Linked DNA regions of Struthio camelus. The protein of the gene in region 2 purifies or fractionates together with the protein of the main gene of each other region. This does not show direct contact. Links are inferred from orthologs where the notes say so. Each region holds a gene or a part of one and is shown on either strand. Other genes may lie near its edges. The genes, in order: TERT and PINX1.

What was found.
Region 1: the proteins of PINX1 (region 2) and TERT purify together in Homo sapiens (co-immunoprecipitation; 3 studies listed by BioGRID and IntAct, with this or other methods). This does not show direct contact. The link is inferred for Struthio camelus from reciprocal best matches to the Homo sapiens genes PINX1 and TERT.

The regions. Positions count from the first base shown.
Region 1 is NC_090943.1:71,164,668-71,172,854, reverse strand, and holds the start of TERT (telomerase reverse transcriptase), read left to right. Parts: upstream 1-5,115; 5' UTR 5,116-5,472; coding exon 5,473-5,700; intron 5,701-6,967; coding exon 6,968-8,187. UniProt on the Homo sapiens protein: Telomerase is a ribonucleoprotein enzyme essential for the replication of chromosome termini in most eukaryotes. Active in progenitor and cancer cells. Inactive, or very low activity, in normal somatic cells.
Region 2 is NC_090944.1:10,529,601-10,537,647, forward strand, and holds the start of PINX1 (PIN2/TERF1-interacting telomerase inhibitor 1), read right to left. Parts: upstream 3,261-8,047; 5' UTR 3,169-3,260; coding exon 3,150-3,168; intron 1-3,149. UniProt on the Homo sapiens protein: Microtubule-binding protein essential for faithful chromosome segregation. Mediates TRF1 and TERT accumulation in nucleolus and enhances TRF1 binding to telomeres. Inhibits telomerase activity. May inhibit cell proliferation and act as tumor suppressor.

The DNA.
Region 1 (8,187 bases), on a different chromosome or scaffold from region 2:
CATGGTATAGTTAACTGCTCAGCCACCAAGTTCCTTTAAACTCCCTGGTAAATATCATCCGATGATAGAGACTTACTAATTGTTTATTTTTTTCTTCTCTCTTTATTCAACAACATTATCTGCAGTACTTCAACTTGAGACAGATCATGCTGTGTGCAAAGGTTTGATGCAGTACCCTCCTTAAGTTCCTCATCTAATTTCCTCACTATTGCCACTATTGTCCTAAGCGTTCCTTCTATACTTTTATATAACACATACCATTCACATTATAGACTGCCTGGCAGGTTTCCCATTTCTGATGTTTGAAAAAGTATATTTTTTATTAACTTCTGAAAGTTGTTCATCAGACTCTTCTGACTTCGTTTTATTAGCCTATCTTTTCCTTTTTTTTTTGATTGAATATAACTTAAGGTTTCTGAAAGGCTCCTTACCTACAGTCTCACTTCTCACGAGAGGTTCCTTTTCGGCCTATTTAAAAGGAGCTTTAGAAAGAGATATACATTTACAGTACACCTGTAAAGTTGTGTCTTTAAATAGACATTACTGAGGACTGACCTAATATAAACCCAACTGTGTTAAATCAACTACATGTGGGGACAAGTACATCTCATATGTTTCAAGCAAACTATAACATCTTATTTCCTTTCACTTCACTCTGTAGAAATGGCAATTTATTTTTATCACTGCACTATAATCATGTATTTCCAAGGTAACTTCCTTTCACAAAAGCTGGTGGTAGAGCAGGATGTGGATTCGTTCTCCCCTGAAGGATAAATTTGTTGAGGAGAACTGTGACTTAATTATTCATTCAGGTCTGGGCTCACCAGTACAAGAAGACATACAGACATACTGGAGCAAGTCCAACTAAGGGCCATGAAGATCATTAAGGGACCGGAGCATCTGACATATGAGGAGATGCTGAGGAAGCTGGGATTGTTCAGCCTTGATAAGGAAATGCTCAGGGAGACCTTGTCAAAAATGTATAAATGCCTGATGTAAAGAAGACAGATCCTAATTCTTCTCAGTGGTGTCCAGTGACAGGACAAGATGCAGTGGGCACAAATTAAAATGCAGGAAATTCCAACTAAACATAAAAATATTTTTCACTCTGAGGGTGGTCAAACACTGGAACAAGTTGCCTACAGAGGTTGTGGAGCCTCCATTCTTGGAGATATTCAAAACTCAACTGGATGAGGTCCTGAGCAACTGGCTCTAGTCGACCCTGCTTTGAGCAGGGGGGTTGGATTAGAGATCTCCAGAGGCTCTTTCCAGTGTCAGCTACAGAACAGCTGTTTCTGTTATTCTATTCTTTTCTTTATTCAGCCTCCTAAAAATCAACTTATCCCCTTTTCTATGACACTTCATTCCCCCTCTCCCTCCTGGATTCTCTCCCCAGCCTAGTGGTAGGCACACAGAAAAACAGGGTAGTGCCTATGAAAAGAAACAGGAATAAAGAGATCCCCTTAGCCTGGCCACAGCAGTCCTCTTCTCTCCTCACACCCTTGATGTGGTTGTTGCCAAGAAGGCATCAGCAAGACGCACCGGTAAGGACCTACTTTGGAACCTACCACCAGCTGGCAGAAAGGGTCCAGGAAAACGACAACTAAAAGCCCTCCTCAGAAATTCGGCCTACAGCAGCACCTGCAACCCAACTATCTGCCATGAGCATATCACCAGCTTTGGGGACATGGATGTACCACCCCCAGAGCACACAGTCAAGTAGTTACAACCTCACCTGCAACCAGCACGTCCTCAGCTTTGGGTTCATCCTCCACTATCACCAAAATCCCATTACTTCCTTGTGCATTGGTGCTAGGGTTGCACCCTCTAAGAAAGTCCCACTGGTGGAAAGACCTAGACCACTGTCCACCTCTTCAACAAGACCTACAGATCAACACCTCACAGACGGTCTCCCTCACCATCATGCCCTTGGTTTCTCCAGTATCATCCCCCTGGCTGCTGGGGAGGAATCTTTTGGTGCAGTCAGGGGTCTGGTTGCTGTTTTCAAGATTTATGACTCCTTGTCCTTGCCACCGGCCCTTGATCTGGGGATACACTCAACACCCCTTCCTGTTCCTCCTCCTCTCTTCCTGAGCATGTTCCTCAGAGGAAATGGTGACTCGCTTATCTGCCACATGCCCGCCTGCATTAGACATCATCCTTGGGTTGTACCTTGAGGGTATCATCACCTCTGGAGTATCTGGGGGTGGGGGAGAGGGGAGTACATACCCACCAGAGGTCAGATCATGGATATCAACTATACTCCTGCCTGAGTGCAGCTACTGATACAGCCATGGCCAACTTCTGTCCCCTTGCCCAAGTCTGCAGTGTCTGTGCAACCTCTCCATTACAGCATTGCTGAGGTCCTTTGAAGCCTTCTAGTATTATCACTCTCCCTCCTTTGGGGGTACCCATCTGGTGCCTATCTGCATCAGGGATGCATGGCAGTCCGTGGCATGCAGGCAGTGCTGAACAAGGAGTGACACAGAAATGCCTCAATCTAAAGGCTATAAAGGTGCTAAGAAGGAGTGGACACCTCAGCCAGGATGATGAACAGGGAAGAGCTGCTTTGCTGCCTGTAAGAGATTTAATGCTTTAGAAAGAAGGTACAGCCAGTCCTCGAAGAGCAGGGGGATGCTGACCTCACTCTGAGGTCTTTGCGGTCCTCACTGAAGGAGAGGAAGGTACACTGTCCTGTCTCAGCAGGGCCACAGTTTCTACACCCCTATCCCTGCCATTGGTGAGAACTATTTGCTGTGTAGCACCACCCGTATCAGGGGCAGCACTGTCCCTGGCCACAGGGCCACTAACTTCACCTAATGAAACACCTAATGAAACAACCTTCTCCACACTGGGAGCTGCCAGGTGAGTCCTCATAAGGGCCAGGTACTCTTCAGTCTTTGGGAAGGGGAGAACACTATCATGTTGCTGCAGGAGATTTCACAGCAATCCAGCCAGGAAGCCTAACTAGAAGACAGTCACCTCACGTCACTAATGTATCTGGTAGACTGCTGACTCTGTCCTGCCTAGACCTTTGCTCAAAGGGGCTGATTTGGGATTTGCTGAACTTGTGCCACGTGGCCTGCTACCCATCTCTGTCCATGTGGAGGGAGCAGTTGTTAATATTAACACCTACAGCCCACTGGGCCAAGAGCATAGCTTTAACAGCAGACGTGTCTTGGCAGTCAGAGTCCCAGAGTCTCTTTTGCATGGCAGGGATCGGTATGACAGAGTAGCTGGAGCAGGAGAGTCGGAGGTGAAAAGGATCTTGGCATTCTATCCCTTTGCAGCACGTTTTGAGAGAAGCGTGATGAACTCCAGCTCCTGGAAGACCGCTGGGCTCAGGGCACCTTTGGTCACATATCCAACTGCTTCAGGAGATGGATTGTGGCATGCAGCATTTAACCTTCCTCACCAAGTTATCCCTCTTCCCCTTTCCAGCCTACCTTCTCATGGCTCATATAGAAGCTGTTCCATACTTTTGGTCCCTGAGCCCTTTCTAACTCTAGTACATCTTTTCTGAGAAGTAGAGGCCAGAATCGCACAACCGCACTCAAGCTGTCGCAAACCATGGATTTATGCAATGGCATAATGATGTCCTCTTGCTGTTCTTTATTCCTTCCCCAATCATTCCTAATACTTGACTTGTTTTACTGGCTGCTGCTGCGCATAAAGCTGATTTTTTCATGGAACTGTTATAACCTCAGGGTCTCAATCCTGAGTGGTACTAATCACCCCAGAGCCCATAATTTTATATATGAAACTAAGAATGTATTTCACCTCTATGCCACACTTGACATTTATCAGCATTAAATTTCAACTGCCATGTAATTGCTCAATCATTCAGTCTTATAATGTTCTTCTGCAAGTTTATACTCTGCTTGTGTCCTTGCTGCTTTGGATAACTTCATCCAATCAGCAAATTTTGCCATTTACTGATTACTTACAATACTTCTGAGTCATTTATGAAAGTTATACAGTGCAAACTAATGTGGATCTCTGGTGGTGGCCTTCCTTATTGAAAGAACTGACCATTTATTTCTACCTTTGTTTCTTATCCATATCAGCACATTCCTTCTTTCATTTTTCTATTCATAACATTTCCTTACAAAGGCTTTTGGAAATTCAAGCAGACTATATCAACTATATTATCATAATCTTCATGTCTTCTCAAGCATCCATAGAACCCCAGGAGGTTTTTAAGGCAGAACTTCTTTTTGCAGAAGCCATGTTGACTGAGCAGCTTGTATTTCTCCCAGCATCTAGTAATTTTATGTTCTGTTATTATTTCTACTAATTTACCCCAAAAAACCATCAGGTTTACAGGCCTGTAGTTCCCCAGAACCCCATTCAAACCCTTTTTAAAAGTCTGGCATCAAATTTGCCAGCATGCAGTCTTCAGGTATCAAGGAAATGTTTGAGTAAGAACAACACTACTTACTAGTGATTTGGCTGCTTCATTCCTGAATTTGATAAGACTCCCAGGACCAGCAAGTTGGTTATGTGTTAGGATTTACTCTGCTCATCTGCACCATAACCTCTTCTACAGTTACTTAATTTCAGATAGATCGTCTACTGTGTCCCCATCCTAAAAGGGATTCTGTGATGGGAATCTTCCTCATTTCTTCCATGGGAAACTTACCTTAGTAAACCAGCAAGACTCTCTCAAAACTTTCTTCAGCACCTCTCGTGACAGTATTTCAGGCTATCCCAGGCAACCTGGAAACGCACAGCACGAATTAGCCAGATGCTACAAAGCTGTCCGAAAATAAAAGCCTAAATGCCTGGTCAAAAGTCATGCCACGAGTTTGAGGTAACTGGTGCTAGTGCTCCACCTCACAATGCACCTTTAACCATAGGCCCTTGCTTCCTGCTTTCTGCACCAACTTCTGCTACTTTGGAAACTGCACGAGTCTTTAAGGACTCTCGGTCTCACAAGGGGGAAAATGAGTGCGATAACACGAGTTTATGGCCCAGAAGGAGAGCAACCATGGCGTGAAAGCATCCCCCCATCCCGCGGGCTTGCGCCTTCCGCGCACTCGGCCCTCCTCGTGGCTCACTCTCAGCCCCAGGAGGTGCCTTGGCCCCCTCACCCCAGCCCGCCTTCCTCGGGTCACTAGACGGCGCTGGAGGAGGTGAGGAGCTGCGGGGCTGGACAGCGGCCTCCCGCCCGGCCCGGCCCGGCCCGCCGCCCATCACCTCTGCGCAGCCTCGGAGGCCGCGCGGGGGGCCTGCGGCACCTGGCCGCAGCAGCTGCGGGGTGTTTGTGCGAGCGCGGTTTTTTTTTTTTTTGCTTTTTGGGTTGGTTTTTTTTTTAGCAATAAGGTTTTTTTTTTTTTTAAAGAAGCAACAGCCCCTCACAGCTTCCTGCAGTGCTTCAGCCAGCGGCTGAAGCGTAAGCGCGACGGGGGAGGAGGTGAGGGAGGAAGGCGCGGGGCCGCCTCAGGTGGCGGCGTGCTCCATCGCCACAACATGGCGGGCGCGGGGCCGTTCGCGGCGGCGCTGGCCGCCCTGCGGGGCTGCTACGCCGAGACCGCCCCGCTGGAGACCTTCATCCAGCGGCTGCGGGACAGCGGCGCCGGCGAGGCCGAGGTGCTGCGGGCCGACGACGCCCCGTGCTACCGGACCTTCGTGGCGCAGTGCGTGGTGTGCGTCCCCCGCGGAGCCCGCTCCATCCCGCGGCCCTTCACCTTCCAGCAGGTAGGAGGGCGCGGGGAGGGGGGGTGGGAGGGGGAGGCAGCCGTTGCCCGCTTGCGCAGCGGCACCTGCGTTGCAGCCCTCCCCACCGAGCAGAAGCCGCCCGCCCGCCCGCGCGGGCAGCCTCGCCCGCACCAACGGTCAGCGCCGGCCGTTGGTGGCCGTTGCCCCCCGTCGCTGCCTGCCGCCTCGCTGGCGTGCGGCCGCGGGAGAGGGCTCCTGGGGCTGCCGCCCTCCGCGGTGCCGCGGCTCGTCATGCTTTTCCTGTCCTCCATGCGTGTGTGTGCGCAGCGGGCGGCCACGCTTGTCTCCTCGTGGCTCTGCCTCCTGGCTGCGCCTGCTCGCTTGGTCGTCTCCTTTGGTCCCCTTGCTCTTCTTCGCCTCAGAATGAAGTTTGGTTTATGGAAGTTAAATTTTTCTCTAGCCTGCGTGGGGCTTATCCCCCTTTCCCCTCCCTCTAGGGGGTGAACGGGCAAAATCTTAGTGTCTGCTGGCCCGTGGTTAGATAAGCCGAAAGATTTGTGTGTCTGGGACTCCCTGACTTTGTGCTTGGTCTGTGGGGAAGCATTTAACACCCCTTCCCCCTCCAAAATGTCTGGGGAGCAATTAGAAATGAAAAAACACCATTTTACCTCTGTTAGAGGATAGAGAAGAAGAGAGAAAGAATTATTTTCCAATCCTTTTTTAAGCAGAAAAAACTCTTCCAAGAGGAATAAGACGAGTTTCTCTTGGAGCTATTGTGCGCCTGAGCAAAGTTGTGCTACTGCACAAAACGAATGTTGCAAGCTTATGGAGTATTTTTTAAAAACGTGAGCTGAAATACTCACTAGAAGTTGTTTATTTTACATTAGCACTTGGAGGTCCCCAGAAAGGCAGTGTTAGATCCCTGCTGTGGTATGGTCTGCGCATGTGCGTAGCGTGGGGCAGAGTGACCTGAAAGCCTTGGAGTCTGGACTGCTGAGAAAGATGAGAGGAGTAGCATAGGGTGTTCCCTTGGCATGAAAACCAGGATCAAAGGAGCAGAAGTTAAAAAGACTTCCCTAAAGTCATAGTCTCTGGTTGATGATTTTATTTTTTTAATCCTGTGATATGTTTGAAAATCTTTTTTCTAATAGGGCACTGTTGCCTCATTAATATTGCTTTGAAAAGCTTTAATCTAAAGCTCAAGGCTAGAACTCTGTATGTTGCATGTCTGTTCATTTAAAGGGTATGTTGTGGCGTTTGGAAGAGTCCATAAAAAGTAATTCTCCTTTTTTCTTTCTTTCTTCAGTTATCTAGTCAGAGTGAAGTCATCACAAGAGTTATTCAGAGGCTATGTGAAAAAAGAAAGAAGAATATCCTTGCGTATGGATATTCCTTACTGGATGAAAACAGTTCTCACTTCCGAATCATGCCGTCTTCAAATATATGCAGCTACCTACCCAATACCGCAACAGAAACTCTTCGTATCAGTGGCCTATGGGAAACATTACTGAGCAGGATAGGGGATGATGTGATGATGTATTTATTAGAACACTGTGCAATCTTTATGCTGGTTCCCCCTAGTAGTTGCTATCAAGTTTGTGGGCAACCCATTTATGAACTTATTTCAAATAATGTAGAATCGTCTCCAGTGTTTGTTAAACAAAGATATTCAAAGCATAGACGTAATATCTTGTTTGACTATATGCAAAAGAGGCTTATGTTTCATAAAGAGTATCTTTCAAAATCTCACTGGTGGAAATGTAAACGAAGACTTGCAGTTCAAGTCTCCAGCAAGGGAAATCAAAAAAATAACAAAATACAAAGCTTAGGATCCAGTTTGGCATATTCGTCTAAAGATGATTTTAAAGCAAGCAAACAGATCAGAATGGTAACTGAACATCTGGAAAATCAGATTAGCCCAGGTTTATCTTCATCAGCTACAGCCCTGTCCTTGAAAAGGAAGCTTGATAGGGAACAACTTAAAATTACAGCTAAGAGAGCAAAAGTAGAGGAGGAAACACCAGAGAAAGAGGCTTGGAATCACAGTCCTGGCATAAACCAAAGTAGTTCCACGAGGTATGGAACTGAGTACATCGCATCACATTCTGTAAATCTTACTGAAGAAAAGTACGCTGCTAGAGGAAGTGACAGTGATATGCCTGGCCCTTCTTTACTTCGCAAATCTTATGATGGGAAGGAGAAAGCTGTCGCAGATGAGAGTGCGTTTCTGCAAGGAGTTCAAAGTAACAGACCTGTTAAGTCCAACATGGAAATGCAAGCAGAATCAAATAGAAAGGGCATAGAGATGCATATGTATAAATCTCAGGTGGATTCTGTACAAATGAAACCAAGGGAAGGTATTTCTTCAAAATACAGAAGGCTGGAAAGTCCCGTAGATCTTTTGGGAAAGAAATTGCCAAATACAATCTTGCGTTCTGGAGTATACATTGAGAGGAAGTCTCTTCTGTACTCTCGCTGGAGTTTCAAAGAATGTTTTCCTAAATCGTTTTTATTGAATCGCTTGAA
Region 2 (8,047 bases):
AATGAAAAAGCTGAGCGTGAAACAGAAAACATTATGGATAATAAAAAGAACCAATTGAATAAATAAGGTTTTGCAGCCCAGCTAAGCAGCAGCCTTGCTTTTCAATCACATTTCTTAATCACTCCCTTTCTTTAAAATCTCTCAATTCGCAACAACTCTCCTTCACTGAGTCACTAAAACCAACTTGCTCAATATTTTTTTTTAATCTATCTTTAACAACATACCCAGTACGCTCATCTACTATTTCATTCTCTGTAACTAGCTCCCCAGGTGGTGACGTTGCAAACCCCAAGAAATTAAAGTCAATGCAATTCACACAGTTGTAAAGTACAGGGTGTATCTAAGGATTTGTCTACACAGTGGAGGTAATCTATGTCAACTGAACATGTGAATTTAAATTAACTTCTAACTTGAATTGTTTGATGTACTTCAGCTAATCCACTTTAAAAGTTAATTCTGATTAATTTTCCTGAATCTCTCTCTGTAGACAAGGCCTGAGACGTTTTACTCCCAGCAAAACCCTGGTAACAAAACACAAGACTTAATGACGAGATTTCTCAAGTTTGAAATGTTAAGAGATCTTTGTCTTTCCACCACTTCTGACCCACATACTTCAAACCTTGTAACTACTGCAAGGGGATTAATCCTCACATTTCTGTCATGTTAACAGAGTCTTATTTTCAAATACTGTAAGCTAGCTGCAGGAAACCAAACAAAGTTGCTTATACCTATCAAAAGTATTTAAGAAAAATCAGGAACAACCTCATGTCACACATATTAATCAGAAAATCATCTACCCTCTTCAAATAAATGATAAAAAAGGTATTTAGCCTAAAATTTGTCAGAGATGTTTGCTCACAGAGGTCTTTTAAAAACCTACTCTCCTCCAGTTAAAAAGTTCAGCTCTGAAGTTAACACCAACGTTCCGGGCTGCTCTTAGAAAAACGATGCTAGAGATATTAATGAAATTCTGGGCAAGTAGCACCATCCAGTGGAGAAAAGTGTCGTTTCTTTAGATACTTCTGCTTCGCTCTTAACTCAGGTGCCCCACTATTTGGAAAAGGTCAACTGCTAAACTGCCCAGACAAATATGTGCATCAGACAAGGAATTAAACCATAATTTTCCAAAAGTAAGATAGGAGGCACTCGAGTTCTGGTAAACCCAGTTCAGTTTCCAAAACGACCAAATCCTATGTTTTCATTCATAAATCCTTCTGACACAGTATCCCATCTTCTAGTTTTGCCCGTATCTCTATAGCATCTGGGATTATGGGATCCCATCCAAGCCAGAGCTGTGGGTCTATATATGGTGATAACACGGACGATAATAAACAGGTGGAATTTGTCTTCAATGACCGGGAAAAGAAAAAGATACAGTTCACAGATAGGATTTTTTTTTTTTATTTCAACCTAGTAAACTCATCAATACAGGGTTTTTTTTTTTACCCCCAAAATGAGAATCACTAAGATAGACAATAAGTTTATTAAAAATTTTGATTTAAAAATAAGTGAAAAATAAAAGCTAACCTTTTGCCCGTTTCTGCTATTAATATGCTTTTTAAATTTAAACTACATAAGCACAAAGTTTTGGGTTTACCCTTTATTTGTTATTTTAGGTTCGTGAAATGCATGTGTTTTCACAGATGTAGTAAAATCAATTAAGCCCCACCCATATGTCTCCTTCTCTTTCTCAATATGAGCATCTGAACTTGATCCAGAATTGCAAACAAAAATACAAGTGGGTAACACAGCCTTACTGCACTTGCAAGTGATAAACAAAAACATACAATTCTGGGAAGGTGGGTCTCAGTAGCTAGATTTGTTTTTAAGATAATCGATTTCCAAAGCATTTTTTTGGGGGGGGGGGGTGGGGGGGGAGGGTGCTTTTCACTAGGTACAGAAGCATTAACGTAGCATTACAATATTGAAAACTGCAGGGTCAAATTGCAGGGTCAAACTAAAAAGAAAAAAAATTCTCAAAAATGGTACCACCAAAGTTTACATCTGAAATAATCAGAAAATTATATATGTAAAAGCAATTTTATTTTTAACAATTCAAATCTGTATTTCCCAAAGGAAATCAGATTTTCTATTTAGTCATTATCCTTATGTCCATCTTTCCCACAGTCAAGGAAATGAATTTATTAGACCTTCTGTCCTGATTTTCAAGGTGTCCTGACAACAGTTAATCTTACCAATACCACCTAAGGACATTAGCAATCACACCGAAGTATACTAGAGCTGTTACACAGAAAACTGCACTCATGGAAGATTTTATAACTATTATTAGAACAACTTCTTGTGTCATTTGCACTCTGCACTAATAAAATGAAATACTGTGTGTGTGTAATTGAACTATTTACATGCAATTTTAAACTTACTACAGAAAGCTACTTTGCAGAAACGCTTCTTGAATTTGGAAGATAAAGTACCAAAAGTTTTTTGTTTCTAGAAAAAAACAAAACACCATCATTCCCACTTTGGGCCAACCCCAAGAAAGTTCTTAGTCTTGAACAGACGAACTTTACCCGAAGAGAAGTTATCAACTGGGATATTCACCCCAAGGCTTTAATCAGCTCTGTTAAGATATAGGGAGCCCAAGCCTTCAAGCATCTCCGAGATATGAGCGAAGCCCTCTTTCATTCCAGCATCAGGGAAAAAAATAAATAAGAAAAAAACACTCAGATAGCTTGTAACAACATGGAAAACCTTCACAAGTGCTTTATTCAGCAACACATTTATGCGAAAGGCTCACAAGAAACAGCCTCGCCTTGAACACGAGCTCTCCCAGTGAGTCCAGGGGATCTACTACACGTAAAAGATCCACGCAAGCTGGTACCTTTACTGAAGCACCGGCCTAAAATCCTTTATAATCTGCTCTCTCCTCCTGCCAAGCGGAATTTAGCCCTGACCCCCCAAATCCCCGGCTTGGGGGCACCGGCCCAGGGAGCGCAACCCCCCGGCTCCCGCCACGACCCCCTCAGAGCCGAGCCCGGCTCGGCAGAAAGCAGCGGCCGCCGGGGCAGCTCTCACCGGCGTAACGGCTCCTTCCCCTCCTTTTCCCGCTATCACCCCCCGCCGCAGTGGTATCGCGTCTCCCCTGCCCCCAAGCGGTTCCTCCCCCGGGGAAGCCCCGAGAAGCGACTCACGCTCCGCCAGCATCGCCATCTTGGGGGCCTCTCTCCCTCCCTCTCTGCCGCTGAGGCACCGCCTCGGAGGCCGGCGGGGGCCTTCACCTCTCTCGGGCGCAGAGAAAGGCGGCCGGAGCGGAGCCCGCTTGAAAAACCGCGGAGCAGCCGGCAGCAGCCGTCACCCGTGGGGAAAGGGAGGGTGTAAACCTACCTCCCGGCTGATAAAGCTTAAATAAAAAATGCGTAGCCTGTCGAATATCGGCTATTCCTGCGCATATCCCCGGGGATATGAGACAGGCGTTTCTGCGGGCAGCTGAAGCGCTCGCGCGTGGCGGGAGGGCGGGAGCGCGGGAGCGCGGCCGGTGAGGGCGAGGGGGGTGTTCGCGGCCCCCACGGGCGGCGCGGCGGCCTGGCGGCCCCGGGCTGCCTCGGAGCACGGTGGGGAGCTGCTAAAGCCGCCTCACCGCGGGGGGAGGGGGGGGTGTTGGTCGGCGGGGCCGTTTGGGGCGTTCAGCCGTCTCCACAGGCAGAGCCCGTCGTGAGGGGCGCGGGGGGCGGGGAAATGACCTAGAAAATGGGTCAAAAGCAGGACGAATCGTGCTGTTTGGCCGTTCTCTTGCCCTCCGTCTTCCTTGCTCACCTTTCACATCCCTCCTAAAGCTCTGTTAAGGCTCTGCGTTCCTGTCGTTCTCTTGCAGGGCCTTGCTGAGAGGCTCTGCCCTCCAAACAGCTCTGAGCCCTGCAGATGTCAGAAGAAAGTGCCCAGGTTCTTCAGGCGGGAAGAAGCTTTTGCGAGTGCAGATTAGCTCAGTTTGCTCCTTTCTCAAAGAGCTGTAGAGCTGGAAGGGGCCTCACAATGCTGCGTTGGCCATCCCGTGCTCATCGTCTTGTCCCAAGACAAGTTCAGCTTTGTTGCGTGGTCAGGGCAGCTCGTGGTGGTACCTAGTTCATACAGACATCCAAAGCAGAGCCTCCAAAGCCTCTTCAGGCAAACTATGCCTTTATTACCTTCTCATGATTTTCAAGATTCTGAGATTCCCCTGCCTAAATCTTCCTTGCTGTAATATAAGCTCATTGCTTCTTGCCTTACTCACCTTAGATGCGGAAGCAATTTATTTTTTCCTTCCTGCAACAAGTTGTTAGGCGTTTGAAGACTGAGCAACTCGCTTCCTTGGTCTTTACTTGCTGAATCAAAACCACCCCTATTTAGCAGCCTTTCTTTGCAGGTCATGTTTTGGAGCCCTCTAATTGTCCATGTCTTATGTTTTCTAGCCCCTTGCTAGTTGTTTCTCATCTTATTTGAAATACAGCACCCAAAACATAACACGGGGGTTGCTGTTGAGTTTTTCAGAGCACTTACTGGAGTTGTAGGCTGCTTCCTCTGTGTCTGAAGCATTTTTCATCGGAATATAATGTTTTGTTCTGTAACCTCCAGATACCCTTCAGGGAAGTTCTGTTTAATTAGGGGTTTTGCATTCTGCGTTCGTGCAGTGGATTAATGCTCTCTTTTGCCCCTGCTGAATCAATACTGATTTTTTCCAGACTGTGTTTGCATTTTGTTCATATTGTTCTGAATTCCAGACCTATCTTTCAGTGTCTTTGCTATCTCTTTCCCAGCTTGGAGTCACCTGCAAATGCGGTATGTGTACTCTGTACCATAACTCAGGTCATTAATGAAAATATTGAATATGATTTGTTCTTGGCAAGTCTAAAACCTTACAAATAGTTTGTTGATTTATTTCAATAGTTTAACTTCAGTTCCTCTTAAAGTGACTGCCCTGACTGCCCCAGTTCTTCCCTTCCCGCTCCGTCTTTAAAGAAGAGCATCAGACTGGCCCTTTCATAGTCTTCTAATCTCACATCCAACCTATACAGGTTCTCACAGTACATACTCTCACCTGATGGTTTTGTCAATTCTCTAAGCGTTTTCAGGCCAAATTCATCAGGCTTGAGTGCTGTGAAAACAAATAAAATACTTTCCAATCCTTTATTGCCTGAGACACAGATCTTTTGTTCTTTGTTTCTGTTGCTAATTTTGTTAGCTACTTGATCGCTATTAATTCTTTTAGTGAAGACTAAATGGTCTTCTGGATGGATGAATCACGTCATGCCCCCTCTGCTCTCTGGTGGATCAGCCTTGCCCTTGGTCTTCCTGTTTTGACTGCTGCGTTATATAAATGTGTCTCATTGCTTATTCCGTGCCTTGACTTTTCTCATTCTATCCCTTATACTATATGTCTGTATGCAGTCTGTCTGACTTGGCCTTGACTCTGCTTGTTTCTTTCAGCTTGCGCTGGTTTCTTATCAGTGTTAGCTAAAGGAATGGCTAGCTGCCATTAATTCATAGACCAAGCTGCTAGGAGACTTTACCCAATAATTTTCGGAGCTTACTGAGGTCTAGTTGAAATCTGTAATTTTTATTTGGCGATTTCTCTCCCTTGCCCTAAGAAGAGGTACTGGGTGCCATAGCAGCTTTAAGTCACTTTCACTTAAAATTTTGCTCCAGGAGGAAATTCCTGGAGGTCAGAATCAACCCTTAGAAGAGCCTTCTTTCTGTTTGCTTCATCTCCTGCTCTAAAAAGATAACATATACACCACACACCTGCTTGGACAGTCTAGAACATGGTCCATCTACTCCCTTAACTGTATACAATGCAGGCGTCTAATCTGAACTCCGGGTGCCTATCTGTCTCTGCTGACCTGAGGAGTTTCGATACCCAGCTGAATCTTCTGATAGCTAAAGCTGAATCTCCTGCTTGGTACCTCCAAGGTACTAACCTTGCTAGTGGAAGTCAGGCGAGATGAAATCTCTTGTCACCTCCCACTTTGTCATTCTGCTTATTCTCAAAAATCATTTGCCACCCAGTCTGCCTTCTCGTGCTCCCAGGTCACCTACCAGGATCCTCTTCCCCTTTCATTACCACTCAGGGACTTTCAGCAAGGGCCACCCTTTACCTAGTGTCTGTGTCTGAAATACAAGGTGTTGTATCCTCACCTCAGTCATCCGTGTACCTGTGCTTCCTGACCAAAGTACTCCTCTTCACAGTAATAGCCATTTCTATGACTTGTCTGTCCGAGGTCTGTAATCCGTCGGTTAAATTGTAGTGTCGTCTGTGCATTAAGAGTTCTAATGGCCACTTTCCTGGGTGAGCCATTTCATACGAGCCAAATCCTGCTTCCATTTTTCATTCTACAGAAGTTAAAGTCTCTTAGCTGAGAGTGCTGGTGTAATATCTTATCACTCCAGTAGATAGCAGCATTACACACATTTGAGTGAGCGTCACTGTGATCTTAAATCACTGAAGGTGATCCACCAGAGTACGTGTTGTCTGCACGGTGGGCTCATTTCCCTCTCAGATCCTTGTGCCTTGAGGTTTGTACCCTCTTGTACTACTCCCAGGAGCAGAGCGAGCATCCAGCAGGTGACAGCTTCTCACATTGCTGGGCTCAGTGCCTTTCTCTACCCAAAACCAGACCATTCCCGTGTCCAGCAGAAAGGCAGCCACAGATACTAGCAGTGTGCTAATGGCACAAAAAGCTCTACACTGGTCACTTGCCACTTGAGGACGCTGCAGTGGGATCCGTGAGCAGCTGTTCACATTAGACATGTTATAGCCCCTTTGGAGCTGATGGAAGGAGAAACAGGCACTCACAGGCAGGGTTTGGGTCCCTTAACACTAACTAGATGCCTGCAAGAATTGTCTAGACCTGAATACATCGCAGTTCGCTCAGCTGGAGAAGAACCAGCACCCATCAAAACACCCATTTCTGACCCATTCAAATGCCTCATCAACCAGGGACATATGAGGAGGGAGAGGAGAAGCATCCGGGAAAAGAAAAGATGAAAAGTGGCAAAAAAGGACGAGAAAGGCAAGTAAAGAAATAGGATGTGAATCCTGGCTGTGCAACAGGTCATTTGTGAGGCAAATCAGCCTCTGTTGTGTGATAATGGCCTGAGGCCAAACTGGAAATGCTTACTGAGCGAGTCCTAGGAGAAGTGTGATGGAAGCACGGGGGACAAGGACTGCCTAGAGACCGTAAAACGAAAAGGCAGGTTTGATATAGGACAATGATTCAAAAGAACAGGCGAATTAGATGTGAGCTGTGGTATAAAGCTGTATTAGCAGAGCAGAGAAGCTGCCCATCAAGCGCCAGGCAGAGAACAAGAGATTAACAACATCTGACCCATGGAGCAAAAGATGTCAGAACAAGTGCCCGCAGCCAGGAGACAAAAGGGTTCAAAGAACAGCTACTAGGGCTAGGCGAGGACCAGAAACTGACTCCAGGCAAGAGGGTGATGTTATTAGAAATGCTGCCAGCAAACAACTGAGCAGTAGGGTGCAATGCCTGGCAGGGAACACTGGAGGGAGTGTAGGCAAAAGAGACAACAGCCAAAAAACCAGATATTTTTCCTTATATCCACGACCACAACGTGTTTTTTTATTACTGTTACTATTTTTGTTGTTATTAATATTCATTAACCTGTGCTTTATGGGGTGTGAGACTGAAGTTCTGCTCTAAGCAGTTTGTTATCCAAACAGAGAAAGGAGATAGGTAGCAGATGAAAGAGCAGCAATGGTTTAGGGGGAAGGAGAGAAACAGAGGCAAGTCAAGGAGTTAGCAGCTTGTGTTTCGTGTGGAGGTATTTTAAAGAATAAAGGAGTGTTAAAGAATTGGACGCTACTGAGACATTAGGCTCAATAGTCACAGTTATGTTATTTCTGTTACAGCTGGTTTTTGGGTGGTCAGATTTCATGGCTGGGCCATACTGAACTTAAGTTGGAAGTTCTTACATAATCAGTTCAGTATTTGGCACTGAAGGACGAACGTGGTGATGGTGAACAGCCTCCGTGACCTGCTGGGAGCAAGTCTCAACAAACTAACTTAATTACTATTTCTGACCAAGAAGGTGGCCT